Tribolium castaneum: one gene and its partners. The protein of the gene in region 3 interacts with the protein of the main gene of each other region in a pairwise test. Links are inferred from orthologs where the notes say so. Each region holds a gene or a part of one and is shown on either strand. Other genes may lie near its edges. The genes, in order: noi, Sf3a2 and Sf3a1.

Evidence for each region.
Region 1: the proteins of Sf3a1 (region 3) and noi interact in a two-hybrid assay, tested with the Caenorhabditis elegans proteins (2 studies listed by BioGRID). The link is inferred for Tribolium castaneum from reciprocal best matches to the Caenorhabditis elegans genes prp-21 and prp-9.
Region 2: the proteins of Sf3a1 (region 3) and Sf3a2 interact in a two-hybrid assay, tested with the Caenorhabditis elegans proteins (2 studies listed by BioGRID). The link is inferred for Tribolium castaneum from reciprocal best matches to the Caenorhabditis elegans genes prp-21 and repo-1.

What each region holds. Positions count from the first base shown.
Region 1 is NC_087397.1:5,206,108-5,210,237, forward strand, and holds noi (splicing factor 3A subunit 3), read right to left. Parts: upstream 2,667-4,130; 5' UTR 2,524-2,666; coding exon 2,428-2,523; intron 2,376-2,427; coding exon 2,169-2,375; intron 2,120-2,168; coding exon 2,047-2,119; intron 1,990-2,046; coding exon 1,676-1,989; intron 1,627-1,675; coding exon 1,490-1,626; intron 1,442-1,489; coding exon 1,102-1,441; intron 1,051-1,101; coding exon 849-1,050; intron 800-848; coding exon 666-799; 3' UTR 613-665; downstream 1-612. Other genes in the region: neuropathy target esterase sws, read right to left, coding at 1-70, 121-225; NF-kappa-B essential modulator, read left to right, coding at 2,942-4,130.
Region 2 is NC_087402.1:2,914,673-2,917,656, forward strand, and holds Sf3a2 (splicing factor 3A subunit 2), read right to left. Parts: upstream 1,563-2,984; 5' UTR 1,446-1,562; coding exon 630-1,445; 3' UTR 542-629; downstream 1-541. Other genes in the region: mRpL19 (large ribosomal subunit protein bL19m), read right to left, coding at 16-76; RpL27A (large ribosomal subunit protein uL15), read left to right, coding at 1,781-1,783, 1,968-2,031, 2,189-2,286, 2,340-2,492, 2,655-2,783.
Region 3 is NC_087397.1:12,582,786-12,586,881, forward strand, and holds the start of Sf3a1 (splicing factor 3A subunit 1), read right to left. Parts: upstream 2,902-4,096; 5' UTR 2,827-2,901; coding exon 2,733-2,826; intron 2,660-2,732; coding exon 2,495-2,659; intron 1-2,494. Other genes in the region: peroxidase, read left to right, coding at 3,943-3,982.

The DNA of each region.
Region 1 (4,130 bases), about 7.4 Mb from region 3:
AAAAATACGTTACTGAAATTATCGTTGCGAAAATCGCTGCCAGTAACACGGGCAGTAGCTGGAAGCCCCACTGGAACCCCGTGATTACGCAAAAACTGATTCAAATCGCAGTTTTCTTACCTGGTACGTCTCTTGAGTCGAAAAACTCGAGAAGACCTCACCGAACCAACTGGACTTGAGGGTTTCTTCATTGTTTAAGTTGTATACCGCATTTAATACGTCCATTTTAGCTCGCACATTATAGAAATTAGACTCTGATGATTAAAGAATTAGTGATTAAAGGTTGAATAAAATCACAAACCTATTTGGATGAATTTACCCACTTATGTGTCAAAGTCAAATCTGGTCAAATCACAGGCACAAACAAATGCGCATCGTTCGGTAAGTGAGAAAAATTGCAGCCGACTGTGCATTCAACCGAACTCTAAAAACACGCTAAATGAGTACTTAAATTATTATTTATTTACGCAGAAACTACTGAATAATTTCTTAAGTAACAGGAATAATTTTCACTCTCTCTATCCCTATTTCGGGCTCAGTTTTGTACGTTCGTGCTAACGAACAGTCGAAAATTCCCCTTCCCAAGGCGACCATCAAAATAAAATGTCAATATTTAAAGTTTTGTTTATGTTTTTTATTGATACTTATTGTTAATACAGCACAAATTACAATAAACCTTGTCTTTTAAGATCCTCGTAAGTCTTTCTGTTAACGACGTTCCCTTGCGAATCCTCGTACTCTTCCTCTGTTTCAGGTTGCCAACGCTCTGCCTGTTTTTGCACTTTGAGCTTCTCCCACACTGGAAAACAACCGTAACAAGGTAAGAAACCAAAATTGCAACTTCTTACGTGCTAGGGCATCCTCAATTTGCGTCACGTTGGCAAAATGCGCGGTATTGGGGATTCCCAGACAGCGCATTCCATGAGCGTGTCTCCACTCCGCAAAGTGTCTTTGAAACGCCTTTGGTCCTTTATAGACGTAATTGCCGCAAATTTCGCAGTTGTAACTGATATTCAAACCGTGGAGTTTGTACAACCAGTATGGAATCGGCTGCAATTACGAAACAATCAATTTTACCAACTTACTTTCAAAATCACATACTTTTCCATCCCAGCCCAAAGGTAAGTTTTTGGGGTTGTAGGGAACGTCATCGTCGGCTTCATCGGGACTTTCCTCCTCACTCTCCTCATTTTCACTATCGTCTCTTTCACCATCCGTCCGCGCTTGTTTTCTCTGGACATTTTCCTTAGTTGCCGCGCGTTGAGGGGCGACCAGCTCGGCCAACCTATAAACTTGTGCCTCAAGACAGGCCAGTTCTCTTTGTCTCATTTGCTCCTTTTCCTTACTGGCTTTGCCAGATTTGTTTTTAGTCATTAGAGACGGATCTAGTGAGCCTTTGCCCTTGGTTGAAAATAAACGCTGGGCACGCTCTTCCAACGTCCTAAATAAATAATTAGAATTTTATTTATGGCAAGACGTAAATAATTACCCGCCACATTTTAAACCAAGAGCCATTAGGGCCGACTTCAATCTGTCCAAACCTAAAGAAGCCAATTCCTCCCAACTTGAAAATGCGGACAAGTCTAAATGGGCCCCAACGTTCGCCAAGGCCGACCCTGTCTCTTTCTGAAAGTAAATGAAGTAGTAAAAATAAATTAGTTTTTTACCAAATTACGGGCCATCCTGGAACAGTCCCATTCTCCCACTGGACCATAACATTATCAACTTCGTTTTGCAAATCAGCATCAATGTCCATCAAAGGTTTGACTCTTTGCACGAACCAAGTTAAATACTCAATCAAGCAAAGCAAATATTTGCGATATTCTCCAGTTTTGCGTTCTTTAGGAATGTCATAGAGCTGGTCAAAAGTGCCCAAATATGTGATATAATCAACCTTTTCAATGCCTTTCAAATTGATATATTTCTCGTAACATTCGTGCAAATCCAAATATTTCCCATAACCTTCCTCATCCGTAAATTCAACCAAATCTTGAAAAAACAAACGTAATTAAACAACTGTGATCACACGAGCCTAGCAAGACTCACTTGCCATTTCTTCAGTGGGATTTTCACGCGCTTTGGCTAGTTCATCGAACTCAACAGACATTGGAATACTTATCTGAGAAAAAAATCATTACACAAACACACAAAATATTCAAAAACTATACCTCATTAGGATGCTTCCTGTAAAAATCTTTAATCTGCTTGAGACGATTGTAAAACTCCTGAAACTCATTTGGACCTGTAAGGGCAGCGACTTCCGCTTTTCTTTGCCCGTCCTTGTCCTCATACAGCTCAATCAAACGATCAGTGGAGGTCATATATTTGTCTAGCAGAAATTTAAGGCGATAGTCCGAGTTTATTGCCTCGCGGTACTAAAACAAAGACTCTGTCAGGGGGCAAAGCGCCACGAGAATCACAACTTACCGTTGTTTTTTTATGTAAAATTTCTTTAACCATTGCGTCAATGAGACGCTCTTTTTCCTCGTGATAACGCCGTTGTTGCTCCAAAATCGTCTCCATTGCGACTTTTTTTAGAAAATTGCGAAAATTATTTATTTACCCGACGCCATCAAATGTCGACTGTCAAAAAATGACAAAATGTCAGCGTAGAATAAGAGAGAGGTGCACCATTATTGTCACACTAGAAAATCACTAAGCGGTTTTTCTTTGACTTTACAATTTTTTTACGACTACAGTTGTGTCCCAAATGAAATTTTACGTAAATAGTTATGCCACAATAACATTTTTAGAGCTTTAATATTCTTAAAAAATTAAATTAAGGCTAAGGCGACTTTTTATTGGTCCGGTTGGTAGCAGTGTCTTTAATCGTGTGTCAGTAGTTTGGTATTTTCATATTCTATGTTCTAATTCATTCTATTTTGCGCCGCAAATGTAGTGTTGTACTGCAGCTGTTGTTAAAACTTGAAAGTCATCAAAAATGAGTCGTGACGAGTCCTTCGTTGCTGTGAAAAACACTGCAGAGTCCATGGTTCCGTCAATCGGGTCCGATGATGAAGATTCATTTGTCGTTTTGGAAACTTCAAATTCCATCAGCGAAAGTTTGTCTTGCAGCCCTCCAAGGGACGAAATCTTGCCCCCAATAAGGACAAATAAGGTTCACGAAATGGAAAATCTAATCAGGATGAAAATATCACAAATTACCGTTGATCCGTTGCCAGAATTACCAGCAGCTGTTGATGCGATTGTGCCCTCAGTTGCAAGTATTGCAATATCGCCGGATTCGTCGTATGAAGAGATTCAAAAACAAGTGGAAGAACTGATTAAGGAAAACGAAAAGTTGAAGAATATCATCGCACAAAATAACATGAGTATGAAGGCGCAGTATACGAGGTTTTTGGCCTACAGGGATGAGGTCACCAATGTGATGAAGTCCTACAAAGATAAGTTCAACGATGCCAAAATGTGCATAGATAAGTATAAAGAAGAAAATGCAAAGTTGGTTAGTGACGTTGAAGTTTACATCAATCTTAAAAAGCTCCATGAAGAAGAAATCTTGAATTTGAAACTGAAGCTTAAGGAATTGGAAAATTTGACCAACGGCCCCAACTTTTCAGTTGTTGACACAAGGAAATTAGCAATGATGAAGGATTTAGAACTGAAACAGGAAGAAATTGAAAGACTGACGCAAAAATTGGTGAATGTACCGAACCTTGAACAGGAATTACAAACCAAGCAGCAACAAATTGACGACTTTAAACTGGATATTCTCGCCGCAAAAAATCGCGAAAGCGACCTAATTGACGAAATCCAGTCAATGAAGACAACAACCACCGACCTCCAATCAAAATTGGATAATTTAACAAAAGAAAACGCAAAACTCGTCCAATCATCGACGGCAGCCCAAACCTACGACCAGCTCCTCAAACTGAAAGAAACGGAAATCTTGAAACTGAAGGAAGAACAACAACGCACCGCTTTCGTCGAATCCACCCTCAGTGATGAGATAAAAACCCTAAAATCGCAACTTAAGGAGCTCCAAGACAAGTACAACCCGCGTTTGGCCGAAGATTATGCCCAATCCCGGGCCCAGTTGAGCGTTGCCCAAAGGACAATCACAGCATTGGAACAGGAAAGGGAACAGAAGATTAAAGAAATCGAAGATTTGC
Region 2 (2,984 bases), on a different chromosome or scaffold from region 3:
AAGGGGCAGTCATACCCTTAAAGTGCCGAATTAAGGCAAAACAAGGCCGGTGTGCACCCGTTTTCAACATTTTCATTGACAAAAAAAAATAGATATGGTAGAGGTTAAGTATGGCTTGACAGAGGGTCTTGAACAAGACTGGACGTATGGATGATCCTAATAATAATATGTCGTAATACAAAAATAATAAGGCTCAAGTTTACTTTGTATGATACACCATCATACCACAGATGATACTAGTAATAATTAAAAAGGTCAGAATATTTAATTATACGTAAATCTTGCCATAGCCTTGAAAATTAACTATTCGGGACACCGGACATATTAAAACGATCAAACTCAGAATTTTTCTTCCACAGTTGAACCAGTTGAACCACGATTTTAAGAGAATGTAGCCTCAGATCGTTATTACATGGGCTTAAATATTTTACAAAAACACGCAAAAAATCGTTTTTTTCGTTGATTAAATAATATTAGCAGTTGATCTTTCCCTCTTCTCAGTCACTTCTCCGAGAAAGAAAGACAATAAATAAATACTCCATTCGTTTGGGACCAGTTTAATGTTTATTAACTTTTTTGAAATAATGAAATACAGTGTTATTTAGTTCAGCTTAAAAAAATCAATTTTGTTAATGAGGTGGCGGTGGCACCGGCAGAACCGCCCCCATCAGCGGCGGCGGCGGCGGAATGGCGTTAAACATCGGGGGTCTCGGTGGTGGCGGCACCGGGATCATCGGTGGCGGCGGCACTCCACCCATCATACCCCCAGGCCTTGCAATAATCGTGGTCGGTTTCTTCGCCTCATTCTTGAACGCAAACTGGAGGAAAAACTGCTTTGTATCGATATTCCAATGCGTCCAGAACTTATTATCCGTCTTCTCAACCTCCCGACTCGGCACTTTGAACGCAATTGTCTCGTAGGGTTCCGCTGCGAAAAGCAAATACTGCCATTTGCGGTCCGGGGGCTCAATTTTCTGTTCATAAGCCGACATGAATCGATGCCGAGGAATCACATTATCGGTGATTTCCGGATAATCAATTTGGAAGAGTAGACTTTGTTGGCCTGTCTCAGGGTCTCTTTGTTTCGTTACTCGGTAGCCGGGTCTCCCAATTTTGACGAATCTTTTCGGCTCAACTCTGGGTTTTTCGGGTTGGAGGAGTGTGGGGGCGTCCTTTGCTTCCTTGGCGGCTCGGCGAGCCAAGTTGGCTTGGTGCTTCTTGCCTTGGGTGTGGGCGAGGTAGCTGCCCTCGTTGTTGTGTAGTGTGAGACATAGCTTGCACTCGTAGGAGCCCAAATGGTTTTTCATAAAATAGGGGTCCTTTTGGAGGTCGATGGTTTCTAAAGCTAGCTGGCGGAGACGCTCGCGGCGGTCGCGGTTGGTTTCCGACCAGGAGGCTACGCCGCCACCGCCGGTCTTGCCCCCCGGGCGATTTTGGAAATCCATTTTGCACTTTTATTTATGCAATTAAAAACGATTGAGGTTACATGTAACTGACAAGAGCGCAACCATTTATTAGTAACCTTCTTAACACCAACATGAGAGTATAAAAATGTCACCAAGTTTAATTTTGCATTTTGAAAATTTACATTAGACGTTATTTTTTCATTAAAGTGATAAGTGCAAATTAGATTAGAATAGGGCGAGATGCACTTTACAATAAATAAGTCCAAGTACGAGACCATTTTATTAATAAATAGGTGTTAGTGGCTATTGGCTCCATTGACAAATGTTGGCGATCCTGCTTCCGACCTTTCCGAAGTTGACAAGTTCTTTCCAACATGGTGGGTATTTCATTTGCTGCAAATTTTTTCATTTTTCTGACTTAATCTCAATCATCTTTTGTAATAATTACTTTTCGTTAAATTGAAAAGTTATTTTGAACAATTCCCTATTAACTAACATGCGTATTTATTTCGATTTGTTGCAATTACAAGTGTTTACAACTTCGTTGTGGTTATGTTCCAGTCGACCCATAAGAAGAAGACTAGGAAGTTGAGGGGCCACGTGAGCCACGGACACGGCCGCATTGGTAAATAAACCCTCCTCTTTTTAGCAGTCTTTGTTATTTTATGATGATACAAGAACGGGCGGTATGAATAAATTTTGATTAATGTTCTCGACTGATCTTCGTTTTGAAATAGTTATTTTAATTAGTTTTGGTCGGAAGTTAAAAAAGTATATTACAGGTAAGCACCGTAAGCATCCTGGAGGTCGCGGTAATGCCGGTGGTATGCACCACCACAGGATTAATTTTGACAAGTACCATCCAGGCTACTTTGGAAAGGTTAGTGGAAGTTGTTTTTTTTTGGGTAAAGTACTTAAATAATTTTATTTCAGTTGGGTATGAGGAATTACCATTTGAGGCGTAACAGCAAATGGTCTCCCTCAATCAATTTGGATAAGTTGTGGACTCTCGTTAGTGAGCAAACACGATTGAAATATAAAGACCACCCTGAGGGAAAAGCCCCAGTTATTGACATTGTCAAAGCTGTAAGTTTTTTTTAATAATTGTTTGCAGATATGCTTTAATGATGAAATGCTGAACGGGCGGTCTGATTAGAATGCTGATGGTTCACTTACTGACTGTTGGCTTGTGATCTAAAGATTTTTTTTGTATTTGTAGAAATTATTTGGTTCTTGTTTTTGTTTCAGGGTTATTACAAATTGTTAGGTAAAGGGCGCCTTCCTAAACAACCCGTCATCGTTAAAGCTAAATTCTTCTCCAAATCCGCTGAAGAAAAAATCAAAGCTGTTGGAGGAGCGTGCGTTTTATCGGCTTAATTTGTAAAAATAAACACATTTTATAAGTTTTTCTTGTTTTTATTCACATCCTTATTTTGACACTATCAGTGAAGATGTTTTTTGGAATCGAAGATCTTTTAATCGAAGTAGATGGTAATTTTTGCACTTTAAAAAACTCAGTCGGCCACTCTTACAATCGTCTGTTACCTTTATCCAGGGCATAAAATAAAAAAAAATGCA
Region 3 (4,096 bases):
TTAGATAAAATCAAAAATTTTAATTGAAATGAAATTTACACATAGCGGAATTATATTAAAAAAAATACTTTAAAAAAGAATTTAACAAATTAGACATCAAATTATTCCAAGTGTTAAGTATTAAATTTCTGAATCTGAAACATCAAAATCTGTTTTTGAATCAGACTCACTTAGAGAAATAATAAATGGAGAAATATTTGCAATGTGTTTTGTCCAATCTGAAGCAATTAATTATTCCCAGTGTTTACAGAAATTTTGCCACATTTCGGGTGTACATTTTATGAGTGATTCCGACCATAGATTTGCAACTTTATTTCTGTCCAAAGGTTGCTCATTTGTATGTTTATTATAATAGTTCTTAGAAAACCCCTATGCCAATGAATTGCGTTATACTAGCGATGATATGGGGGTAATCAAAGAACTTCATGTCCATGGTCATTTAAAACTTTATCTATTACGTACTGTTTTTAATTATTTGCTTTTAAAGGTTTTATTAAATCCTACAACTGATTTTTAGTGAAGTATTAAATCAAATTCTATATGATGATTAATCAACCATACCTACATTTTACCCTTGGTAGAAGACGACGTGGGCATTTTTTCCAATTGCATCGAGTGACACGGAGCACTATCCATTATCACAACAGATTTAAATGGTAGTTTTGCTAAAGCAGGAATTAATTGGTTAATCACCCATGTTTGAAATATTTCTCCATTCATAGTTTTGTGATAGCCTCTGTCATTATTCGCCACATCCATTAAAAGGTCACATCCTTCCAAAAAAGCAAACCGACATCCCGCATATAATATAGTGAACCTTTTGTCTTCACTTTTAATTTTTGAAGGATTGCTTTTTAGGTCTTCTTCGTGAACCCACCGTCGAACATTGCTGCCATTTTGATAAATCCACCTTTCATCCAAATATACAAAAATAAAATTTTTAGTGTTTTAGAGTTTTGGTACTGAAGAAATTTTCGTAAAAAAACAATTTTTGATATCAGAACATGTTTTTGTTCACAAAGATTTTTCTTCTATTAACTAAACGAAATCTGTAACTCATATTTTTTAAAATTCTGTATGAAGTTGTTCGCCCTCCTTCAAACTCCAAATTTTCTTTTGATTCTGTTAGTAATGTGTCTAAAGTAAAATATTGATTTTTTTAATTATATTTCGAAGTAGGTATATTTAATTTCAGTTCATAGTAGAATTGCATTTTTCAACAGCGGATGTGAGTATTTTGGAGTAAAAATTAAGCCCAAATTGAGTTTCTGTATAAGAAAAGAATTCACACTTTGAGCTAAGAAAACCCACCAGAAACTCTCATGTTAAAAAATGCATATGCGCTGTTAAAAAATTCTACTATGAACTGAAATGGGATATACTACTATGGAGAAGTATCTGCTAATAACAGGAAGTGCCTACTTTTAACTATAGTCTTTTGTTCCCGAAAGTAAAGTATTTACTTAAAAAAGTAGCATTTACTTCACCCATGTCTTTACTCCACTGGACTGTAGTATTAGCATCTACTTCATTTTTATTTATACCACCCAATGATTTGTTTGGCATTCTGAAGTCCAGAGCAATGTCATACGTGTAGTTTTCACAAAATTTCAAAAAAAAAGATCCTTAATGAAAACCACATTAAACTTGAATAATTGTTGGTATTTTCATGGAGTTTAGAGAAAAGATAAGACAGCTTAACTGTTTATTTACAAAGTTAAAGTTACGTCTCGGAAACGCCTTCAGACCTTGGCTACATAATACTACGAAAATACCAACAATGATAAAAAAGGAGAATAATTTTTTTTTATAATTGAACTTGAATGTTTTTCGCAGAAAAATGATGAATGAAACGATTTGTCTTGAACGGTAAACTAAAAGGTTTTTTTTGCATAAAAACAGTAATTCCACTTTACATTCACATTATAAACAAGTGTTCAAAATTAGTTAATGTTTGAAAAACTTTATTAATCCGGCGTTACTCAGGTGAGTTTTTAGGACACCAATACTAAGGTGGGGTGTGACACACACATCAAAGAATGTGTTTGTTATTCTGAAACTATACCAAAGCATTTTACACTCGATTTTACATAAAGTCCAATATTTCAAAAAAGTCAAATCTTTACCTAGTTTTATAGAGCAAAATTTTTGGTAAAAAGTAGTAACGTAAGTAAGTGGGGTGTAACAAACCCCAGAGCCATAAAATCGGCTACAACACACATATTATAACAGCCAGGTGAAAATTATATTATATTATATGAAAATCATATATTACATCATATTCGAAATGTTTTTGCAATCTACTGAAAGGTGCATACATATAACATTCCTATCTAAAAAACCAAAGCATTTTTTTACTCTGGGGTCTGTCACACCCCAACTGAGTAACGCCGGGTTAAAGAACAAATATTCTTCAGTGTGACCAACCTAATAAAAGAACCATAGGTCTACTTTAACCTGATCAACTCGATTAATATATTTTTATGTTCCTTACCTTTCCCCTCTCGAAAATCGTTGACTTTGTGCTGATAATACGCATGGTAGGGGTCACCAGGATTCAGGAAATTAAATTTCGGATTCCCTAATTCGTTCTGTCTGATCCTGGCCTCAAATTCTGGCCCGTTTCTGGCCACAAAACTGGCTGTTTTATCGACGATATCTTAGCAAATTGTCAGGAAAAATACAATCTAACCTGAATTTTCCGACAAATCTGAAATTTTCACAAAGGATACTTCTCACCTCTGGTGGTGGATAAATAATACCCACCACTGGATTTATCGGTCCGGGATCGTCCGGATTTGGATTATTTGCTTCCAAAACCGGCATTTTCACTATTTTTTCTTACAATAAGCTAAATAAACACGCTAACAAACGCTTGCTCAACGTAAAATGAAGAGAGAGATGGCAATAAAAAATAAAATTGATGAATACTCCAAACCACTAGAGGCGCCACAAGCGGTCTTTACAGAATTCTATACCAACATTTTACGCGTGTAAACTGTTTTTATATTTTTTACTTTTGTAGTTATTTCTTATATTTTTTACAAATATTATGTATTATTATTATGTATTATAATATTATGTATTACGTTAATATCTATATTACAACTAACGCTTGTGGTTGCGGATCAAAAAGAACGATTAATGAAACCTAATTTATAGATTTGAAACAGCTTATATCTCATTTCAACTCATAGTAGAATTTTGCATTTGCATTTTTTGGAGTGAAGTAGAGCTCAAATTGAAAGTTTCTGGGTTCTTGGCTCAAAATTTGTTACTGAGATTTAGCTTAACATATATTTTTTTCTTATAAAGAAACTTTCAATATGTGCTTTATTTCACTCCAAAAAATCCAAATGCGCTGTTGCAGAATTCTGCGATAAACTGAAATAAAATATATTAGCTGTTTCAAAACTAAAAAAACGCTAACGTCGCATTTTTTTTTGAATTAGGTGTTATAAATTATTCATGTAGTTCAAAAAAATAATAGATAATGTAATTTATACTTGGGAAAGCTAATCAATAATAATTATTTTACATTTTTATTAATCTTATTTAAAAAAATTATTTAGTAAAATGCGACGTTGGTGTTTTTATAGTTTTAAAACAGCTAATAATTTATATTCAACATAGTATTTAACATTTTAGCGAACCTTGAAAAAACGTTGTACCTATAACTTCTGATAGTTTTCAGCTTCAACAGATCAATATTTAGTTCAATAAATTAAAAAACATAATAAAAGTAAAAAAATATAAAAATTTATGTTTAAACATTTGAGCTAAATTACTCTACACCGTTAGAGGACGCTTCAAAACAGACAGATAATTGACAGAAGAATTTGACAGTACGTTTGTGGTTTATGCTGCCCTCTTTTACCAACGCTTCCAAGTTGGGAGTTGTGCGTTGGTAAGGTTGATAACCTGTGGTTTGTTATTGTTTATATGCGGGAAAATTTCATTTTTAATCGAATTTTTCCAATGGGTGAGTTAATTATTTGATTTTTGATTATTTTGTGTTGGATTAGTGTGAGTTTGTGTTATAAGATTGATACCGGAAGGCCGCTTTCCTTCCGTTTTGTTTGAAACTGCGACGGAA